Linked DNA regions of Schizosaccharomyces pombe. The gene in region 1 interacts genetically with each later gene. Each region holds a gene or a part of one and is shown in the gene's direction. Other genes may lie near its edges.

What was found.
Region 2: of lsb6 (region 1) and efr3, changing one enhances a phenotype caused by changing the other (phenotypic enhancement), as found in Schizosaccharomyces pombe (one study listed by BioGRID).

The regions. Positions count from the first base shown.
Region 1 is NC_003424.3:1,679,831-1,685,014, forward strand, and holds lsb6 (1-phosphatidylinositol 4-kinase Lsb6), read left to right. Parts: upstream 1-1,934; 5' UTR 1,935-2,122; coding exon 2,123-3,997; 3' UTR 3,998-4,637; downstream 4,638-5,184. Other genes in the region: wdr70 (WD repeat-containing protein), read right to left, coding at 1-138; SUMO-targeted ubiquitin-protein ligase subunit Rfp2, read left to right, coding at 584-605, 659-1,254.
Region 2 is NC_003421.2:263,693-268,512, forward strand, and holds efr3 (protein efr3), read left to right. Parts: upstream 1-1,695; 5' UTR 1,696-1,752; coding exon 1,753-1,952; intron 1,953-1,992; coding exon 1,993-4,189; 3' UTR 4,190-4,314; downstream 4,315-4,820. Other genes in the region: dihydrolipoamide S-acetyltransferase E2 Lat1, read left to right, coding at 1-707; tef101 (translation elongation factor EF-1 alpha Ef1a-a), read right to left, coding at 4,405-4,820.

The DNA.
Region 1 (5,184 bases):
TGATTCGGATTCTTTTTCTACACTGTTTATCAAAAAGCTTTCTTTCGGTCTTATGAATCTTGCAATTAACGCATTTATATCGTATGTTTGTGCTTGCTTGCCAAACTGTAAGGGAATTGTATTATTTGTGCCATCCATTTACGAAAATCTGGATATTGTAAAATTTTAGAGGCTGATATATTGTTTCCCTATTATTTTTTTCAAATAGCCATTTAACTAACTGACAACAAGTTGTTCAAAATATTTTGTAACGAAAAGTGCAGGGTGAGAAGTTTCAATTACTGAGTTGTGGGGTGTGGCAGCACTACGTACTTCATTCTACCCAAGTTAGCGATTTAGGCTTTGCTAATTGATTTATCTCCTAAGAAGATTACATTGAAGCTTACGAGGAGTACATATTTTCGTTGCCGCTCTAAAAATAAAGATTTATAGCAGTGTGCATATTCTTTTTCTTCAACACACAGTGATGCCGAATCATTTGAATTTCACGGGGTTGATCGATTTTACCTACAAGTTGCATTAAAAAAAACTGATAAGATTATAATTGCTTTGGGATTTAATAAAGGTTTATGCTTTGTGTTGTATGAATCTGCATGGACTAGAATGTAAGTGAAAATTTCGGTTTATAGAATATATGTTAACGTCTACACGTTTCTAGTACCAGGAAGGGATCAGAGGTTAAGCCCTGAGGTTATTGACCTAACCGAAGATATAGAAGATGACGGTGCGGATGTTTCAGAAGTTACTTTGCTAGATTTAACGAGAATACCAGAGTTCCAGCCTCGTCGAAGGATTCGTACAAGCCGTAACCACCTTGACGCTAATCTTTCTAATGTTCCAACTATTAATTCTATTCCTTCTCCAGTCACTCGACCTCCCGTGGCTGTTGGAGGGGGGATATTCTATGGTGCACGAAGGACTAGAAACAGGTCTCAAACCCAACGGAGAACCCTTCTTGAAAATGGGTTTCGAAATTCAAGAAAAAAAGCTCAGGATTCATCAAATTCTATCGCCGAAAGGGTATCTCCTCCACCTGGGTTTTGTTATGATGTCCATCCTCATAATAATATTGCATGCGCAAAATGTGGAAATGAGTTAGTAAGTGATGAGAAAAAATCCATTTTTGCTGCAAAGTGTGGACACTTATTTTGTTCTACTTGTGCAAAAGAGTTACGCAAGAAGACTGTGCCTTGTCCGGTGCAACATTGTAGAAAGCGTATAACCAAAAAATTTATATTTCCTTTATATTTATAATTTATCGATTGGATACTAAGTGTTATCCATAGAGGATATTTGGCGGTTAAGTAATACGCTGGCGATTTTTTGGAACGTTTTGTTTTGCTTTAATAACCAGTAATGGTTTTAAAGGATACGAGTTTTTGTAATGCTTATAAGAACTAAGGTGCTCTATTATCCTCAATGAAAAGATTTATTCATTATTGACGATTATTTCCCCTTTTTTCAATTATTTATTCCCGTCTTCGAGGCTATCACACAAAAACAATTGCTTTTCTTTCTATATTGATTCATCATTTTTCGTACAAGGGAAATTAATTAGAGCTTTTCTTACCCTAAAACCTTCTACAAAAAACAAATCTGGATTCAATCTTTTCAATACACTATTTAGATGAGTATTATTTGGGATACTAGGAATTCTCGTAATGTTCAATTTCATGTTGAATTTATTTATTTACTGCAAATTAAAATATTCTTCAGCTAAAAATCTTAGTATATTCAAGGGAGTTTCCTGAAAGAGTTTTTTCTGAATTTCAAATATACAGTAATGTTTGTTTATAATTTACAGTATCTAATCGATTCAAGTATTTAAACATTGTATATATAATATATATATACTGCTTAACGTACTAAACCCACAGTGTGCTACATTACGTTACTCATTGCAGCAAAGATTATGAGCAGTTGATTCAAGTGCTAACCATGTTCCAAGTGTAAAAACAGAGACTTTGCTAGGCAATTTAGGGAAAGAGATACGTTAGCAGTGATTTGACACGCTCATTAATATCATAGTATCACTTTTCCGTTTCGGTCATTCTAGAGTTTTATTTTAAAAAAGCCGAGTTTCGTTGATTCTTGCTTTTGTGCTGTACTTGCACAGGGCGTTATGGAATCGACATTCCATTCAGATACTCTCGATTCTTTTCCAAATTATCAGGAAAATAGTTTAAACACTAATGAGGAACAGACCAATCCCTTAGAATCGTTAAGGGATGGATGGGCTTCGTCAAACAGTTCGTCTTCGTCGAGTCTTCTTCTTCCAGACGAAAATGAGGGAAATGAAGTCTTTGGAAGCTTAAAAGGGCTAGTTACCCAGTCAAAATTTGGTCAATGGGCTAACAAATTAAGCAAGTCTTTGCAAGCAAGAAGACGAAAGTCTGAATCAATCTCAAAACCCCGAGTTTACTATTCAGTGTTCATGGCTCCTTCTTGGGTTTTGCATGCAGAAAAGCATTGGGAGGAATACCCCCATTACGCTGGATATGATTATAAAGACTACGTTCGACTCCTTGATGCTACAAAGGAAGCAATCGCCCACGGCGTTTTCCCGGTCCTTATTTCCAAGGGGTCCTCTGGATCTTATTTTGTGAAAAATAAAGTCCAAAAAAATATAGCTGTATTTAAACCCAAAGATGAAGAACCGTATGGAAAGCTAAATCCTAAATGGACGAAATGGTTCCATCGAAATTTATTTCCTTGCTTTTTTGGGAGAAGTTGTCTAATTCCGAATACTTCGTATCTTTCAGAAGCCGCTGCTTGTGTTCTAGATAGAGGTCTGGGTTTGTATTTAGTTCCATACACGTCTGTTGCATCAATTTCTTCTCCAACCTTCAATTATGATTATTTTGCACGAAAAGCTTTTCTGACAAGGAATAAGCCTCTTCCTGAAAAGACTGGATCTTTTCAGCAGTTTCTTGATGGTTTCGTCGTTGCATCCAAGTTTTTTGCTCAACATCCCTGGCCTGGTACTCGACATAGAGAAACCCGAGAGTACACGGAGTCTGTAGCTTCCAGCGAGGACTTCGACATTTTCGATCCTTTCTTAGCTGAGAACGAAATTGAGACCGAATTTTGGACCGAAGAATTACGCCTTAAATTCCGGTTTGAATTTGAAAAACTTGTTTTGCTCGATTATTTAATGCGTAATACAGATCGTAATTTGGATAACTGGATGATCAAGATTTGTTACGAACCCTGTGATAATGAAGAATATTATAAATCAATTAATCTTTTATCTACGAATTTAACACCTAATATGTCTGCGAACTCGGTAGACCCTGCTATTTCCCAAACGTCGGATTTTTGGAAGGGACCACATTTTCAAATAGGAGCGATAGATAATTCGTTAGCATTCCCTTATAAACATCCGGATTCTTGGAGGTCCTTTCCTTATGGTTGGCTCTCTTTACCACGCTCCTTATTTACGCAACCTTTTACAGAGTTTACCAGGCAACTCTTTTTACACAAGTTGACTAGCCGAGAATGGTGGGAAAAACTAAGTGATGATTTACGAAACGTATTCAATCAAGATTTAGATTTCGATGAGAAAATGTTTTCGCGGCAACTTTCACTTGTAAAAGGGCAAGCCTACAATATTGTTGAAGTTTTAAAGAATCCCCTCATGAATATTTATGATTTACTTGAGCTCCCTAATTTATATGTTGTTGAGGATGTTGTTCGTATCGAAGTAAATGAGCCAACGTCTGCGAATTCTGAAGAAGCAGAATTTGGTTTACCAATTAAACGAGATTATGGGAGTATTTTGCACCCTTCATGTTCACAAACTTTCCCTCCTTATCCAGGAAGCCAATTATTACAAGCGACACCCGGTCGGTCTTTTTCGTCAAATGCTGAAGCACTTCTGCCGTTAAATTATATTACCCTGTTGTCCAAAGATAGTTCATCTCCAAAAATGTTAAAGGATGTAATTTTTGAAAGACTCCAGTGTGCTTCTTCCAATGCGGTCTTTAGCACGTGTTAATATAAGTCTTGTGTAATAGTATGCTACTATTTCCGAGGATTAAGTCTTTGAAGGTATCATATGTTATTTTCTCGCCTGTTCTTTCTAAGTTCCTTGTTAATTTAATTTTTCCATCATTTTATTGCTACTTCATTCTATTTTATTAATATTAGTTTGATGTTAGCGGTTAACATGAAGGTCTCTAATCATAATTGAGGAATTTAATTTTTTTACCATACAAATCCGACATTACCTGAAATCCTCATAATTGTCCATTGATAACAAAATTTATTATATTTTTAGCTACAGTTTACTCTCTTTTTTTTGTGTTTATTCTACCCATAATTAGTTCTGTTTGAGTTTATAATTGCTTTGCGTTTGCGATTCTTTCCTAGATTATTATTCAAAAATGTTCAATTCATTAAGTATTAGGATCTACTGCTTGTGAATGATTGGAAAAAATGTGCTATTTCTTAAGCCTGTTTACAATCAAATATGTTTAAACATTGCAAAAACGCTTACGTGCTTTTCGATATCAATTTAACGTTTGTTTCAAACATTAAGGTTGAAATGAACACCAATTTTTAATGTATGAAGTTTTGTTACATCCTTATTATCAATAATTTATTTCGAATATAAAACAAAGCAAATGGTTATGAAGAAAATAAAAAATGTTAGTGTAAACTGTTATCCTTGCTAAGCTGCCACATTTGTACGTTGATATTCAGGCAGCTCAGTAAGGCGAAGTTGAGGCTATTCAAGCTCAGCCCTTACGTCTAGTGCGAACCAACCATAATCAAAAAATTAAACGAAAATTTATAAATTCCATATTGTGGCTGAAATAATACTACTTAAAAACTTTCTAACAAAACCTTTGTTTCTGTTGCATGAATTTCTTTCATTGATTTCTTAGGTTTATATTGTTAGTAGACAAACAGTGAATTTCCTTACTGTCCCTTTTTCCCTTCAAGTCTTTAGGATCTACTTTTCATTTCTAATAATTGATTTCTTTGACACAGTCCTCGATTTTGGAGCTGGATTCTTCATTTGAGGCAACAAATTGATTAAAGGACTTAGATATAACAGTGTTTGGGAAATACTGTGAAATTCCTACTTATGTCCTAAATTACGAGGATTTTTATTATATGTTTTTTTTTTCTGTTGTTGTAACCTGTCTAATTTTTTGCAAACTGGAAATTTCTTTTTCA
Region 2 (4,820 bases), on another chromosome or scaffold:
CAGCAGCACCTGGTGACTATGAAGATCTTCCTTTAAGCAACATGCGTAAGATCATTGCTTCTCGTCTTGCAGAAAGTAAAAACATGAACCCTCATTACTACGTTACGGTCTCGGTTAACATGGAAAAAATCATTCGCCTCCGTGCTGCCCTCAACGCCATGGCTGATGGACGCTATAAGCTTTCGGTTAACGACCTTGTTATCAAAGCTACTACTGCTGCTTTGAGGCAAGTTCCCGAAGTTAATGCGGCTTGGATGGGTGACTTTATTCGTCAATATAAGAACGTCGATATTTCTATGGCTGTTGCTACACCTTCTGGTTTAATCACTCCTGTAATTCGCAATACTCATGCACTCGGTCTTGCAGAAATTTCCACTTTAGCTAAGGATTATGGCCAACGTGCCCGTAACAACAAATTGAAGCCTGAGGAATATCAAGGAGGCACATTCACCATCTCTAATTTGGGTATGTTCCCTGTTGATCAATTCACTGCTATCATCAATCCTCCTCAAGCCTGTATCCTTGCTGTGGGAACCACTGTTGATACAGTTGTTCCTGATTCAACCTCTGAAAAGGGCTTTAAGGTTGCCCCCATAATGAAATGCACTCTTAGTTCCGATCATCGTGTTGTTGATGGTGCTATGGCTGCTCGATTTACCACCGCCCTAAAAAAGATCTTGGAAAATCCATTGGAGATTATGCTTTAAAATAAAGCAAAAGTCGGGTTGCTCATACTATCATGCAATTATTTTGTCAATAAAGGTGTTTACTCAGGTTATGTTTTCGGAGCTTTAACAGGAGCTTACGATCAATCGTTGTAGGTAGATTGAGCATTCTTTGTTTCTTGTATACATTTACTACTACAATTGGCTGTTTGAAAAAACGATTTTATTTACTAAGTGACTTTGTTCCGTTTCTGTCTTATAATACTTTGCTTGCTTTGCAAGCTTATAATTTTCCTTCCTATGTTTATTAAATATTACTTTTGTTTAGAATTAATAATACTTAAGTAATCTTGTTGATATCGTTAGTATTGACGGCAGGAAGCGCAATAATAGCTACGTTAAGTGCTGTTGGGTATGTAAATTATTGTTGTTTTATTCAATATATTTCAATAGATTGTTGCTTAGTAAGTGATAACCGACATCCCTTGTTTTAAACCAGTTCAAATGTTCGTTTGCAAATGGATATCTTTAATAATGTCTATTGGCATCAAAATCTGGCTTCTTAATTCATAAAAGAGATTTAAAGATATAGGGAATGTTTAAGTTTTAGAGAATATGAGCATGTTCGGTAAGAAAAACTTTCAGGAAAGGTAAGCAGGAATAAGGATATAAGGCATGTTCTATAACCTTTGATAAAGTCATTTAAATATTCGAAAGTTGTTTTCGCAGTAAACGCTTTATTTATGGCTCATGAGTCATTTCTCAATAACAAGATCATTTACATATGTCTGTAAACTCATTAATCTTCAGATCAGTTATTTTTGGTGGCGTGTTCCACTTAAGATAGCAGTTTGCACTAAATAATTAACTGAATTATACGGATCACTTTTCTATTTTTTGTGTTTAGAGGATACCGGTAGACACATTTACTCAAAATAAGCTTACACAAGCGACTCGTTTAAAGTTACCTTAATACGTCATTTTTAATACGTGAAGCTATATATTGATTTTGATCATCGTACTACTCAGAAGTATCCGTTAACCAACTAAAATTGCTGTCCATGTGATAGCCAGTTTTTTAGGTCCTATGTGGTTACTATTTCGTTCTAAGCATAAGAAGTTAGTCCTTCGATGTTTTCCTTCGGGGAAACTAGGAGAAACGGAACCGAATGGGTCACCTCTAGCATACCTAAGTTATTATGCTGCATCCAATTCGAGTAAACTGAGAAAAGTGGCTCATTTTTTAGGGAGTCGTGTTCGTCATAGCTATTATCATAAACGTGATAAGTAAGTTCCTGTTTTAGGCTCTATTTCTAAATGTTTTTAGTGAGGTTATTATCGGATTGAAAATATGCAAAACATTGGTTCAAAAATGTCGGGATAACATCAACGTGATGGCCTCCGAAGTTGTAAATATGCTCCTTGTTGCTAGTTCGTCAAAAAATTTAGAAGTTTTGTCTGCCTGCGTTGATTGTTTTGCTACGTTTTGCGATAATAGTGGAAAGGGGAGTCCTGCCACTTTTGGCAACGAATTCCATTCTGCTTTTAATAACTTAGTCAATTCATTTTTTGAATTATCAAAAGGTATTGATTGTGTTGATCCTCAGCAGTCGAAAATGCTTGGCCTGAAAGCATTCCATGCTTTAACCGCATGCAAGTTTGCTGGAACTGAAGGCGGAATGCGTTATCAACCTCATTTTGCTATACATTGCGTTTTGATTAATTCTTGGAGTGAATCAGATCAGGAGAAGAAGTCATTTATTGATTTGGTTCGTTCCACGGCTAAATCATATAAGCCATTGCCTCCTAGTAGTACTGGTGTTTCATTACCCGAGCATGATGAAGCGGGTGATAATATAGATGTTGCCATTAAGAAGTTATGTATTAGAATTTTGTTCAACATATATACTCAGACAGATCCTCTGTTTATGGCCGAAAGTACGAAGTCCTTGATACATTTTTTTGCAGCAAAATCCGACACTCCGGTAAATCTAGAATACATATCTGTCGTGCTTAACCAAATTTTGGATTGGACTCCTGTTGAACTTCGACATTCGATCTTTTTCTGTTGTCTTCGTTGTTTATCAAGTTCTCGTATTGTCAACTCTGAAACTAATGTGATGGTGCCATACATGATTTACTCCATTCTTAACTCGAAAAACTCAATTTCTGGCTTATCCGTTATTGACGTGTTACGTGATTTGGGGTCGCATCTTATCAACGCTGTCAATTCATTCGATGCTGATGACCAAACTTGGTATAATATGTGTGAATCTCCATCGGAAAAGCTCCCTAGGCGCCTTTATTTACTTTTGGTTTGTATCACCTGTTTAACTAAGCATCAATATTACGATGAAGAATTTGCTGATGTATGGCGAGAAATCGACACTCTTGCTAATTCTGAAACTTCTTCTGCTATACAAATGGTAGCTTTAACAGCTTTTCATAAGCTGCAAAATGAAAAGCTAAATACAAAAAAAGAATCCAGTGCTCCTCTCTCTTTAGTTACCGACTTTTTGTTGCATAGCTGGCCCAAATCCGCTGAACGTCTTCACACTTCCCAGTCACCTTTTGTACGAATAAAAACTGCTGAGGTGTTCTACGAATTTTTGTGCTTTCTCCGTCCATCTTTAATAAATTTCGATACTATTTTACGGAAAAGTGCAATCACATCATTTTCTGTATTATGGGATTTTATATATGAAACCAGTTGGCATATTGAACGTTGGCTCAAGGTGTTTTCGGTGCAGTCTGAATTTTATATTCTAAAACTCATCATCCAAAGGCTTTACCAGCTTTATGGTCCAGTTTCTGTAACAGCGGTATTACCTGCTATGTATCGCGGACTACGACCCTTTGAAAATGATCCTCCTCGCTGTATTGCCGAGGCGGTTACTGCTTATTATATCATCTATATTGGAGAGAATTTGAAGATCACAACTCTTCAGTCAAGTGGACGAAAGTGGCTTGATTCATTATCTAGCTCATTACCTTCGAGTCTCTTGAACAGAGGTTCTTCTACGCATTCTTGGGAGAAACTAACAAATGCCTCTACCGAGGAAGTCATGTTGCCTTTGGACATGGTTGTAAATGAATTATTGGAGAAAAGCCCGAAAGTATTCCCAGAGGACTCTAGACTACTATTTGCTGAGCAATCGCGACACCCCAAGTACACCGATATTATTCAAAAATTAAAGAAACCGTCTCGCGAAAAGTCTTTTACTTCTTCTTCAGAATATTCACTTCCATTTATATCACCGGCTTCGGATTACCAACAAAATCCTTTACTTCATGCTACCAAGTCGCTCGTTTCTATTCACCAGCAATCACAACGTGGAGAAATGGTTAGCACATTGAAACAGGCTCTATCAAGGCCACACACTGCTAGTACTGTCGTACGTTCTCCGTCGGAAATAAATCTTACAAGACAAACGAGCAACCGTGTACCTCTGCTTGATATGTTGAATCTTAATCGTGCTATGTCTCCGACACCTATTCAAAGTCCTCCATATGTACGCACTTAGTTCTACATATACATATTTTGCACTTAAAAAATGAAAAAAAGAATTATCGTTGCAAATCTATATTTAACCATGCAATTTAAATTTCAATTCCTAAGTTATAAGTAAATTTAATTACTGAGTAGTATACCAAATTATATTAATCAACAATATAACATTCACTAGCCTATCCTGATTACAACAACTCAAGATCTACTTAAATCCGAAGTAAAAAATGTTTACTTCTTGGCGCCAGCCTTAACAGCGGCCTTAGTGACCTTAGCGGCACCAGGGGCAACCTTCTCAACGGCCTTGATGACACCGACAGCGACGGTTTGACGCATGTCACGGACAGCGAAACGACCAAGAGGAGCGTAGTCAGTGAAAGCTTCAACACACATAGGCTTGGAAGGAACCATCTTAGCAATGCAAGCATCACCAGACTTGACAAACTTGGGGGACTCCTCAATCTTCTTACCGGAACGACGGTCAATCTTCTCAATGAGCTCAGCGAACTTGCAAGCAATGTGAGCAGTGTGGCAATCCAAAACAGGAGAGTAACCAGCAGAGATTTGACCGGGGTGGTTAAGAATGATGACTTGAGCGGTGAAGCTAGCACAACCCATGGGAGGATCGTTCTTGGAGTCACCACAGA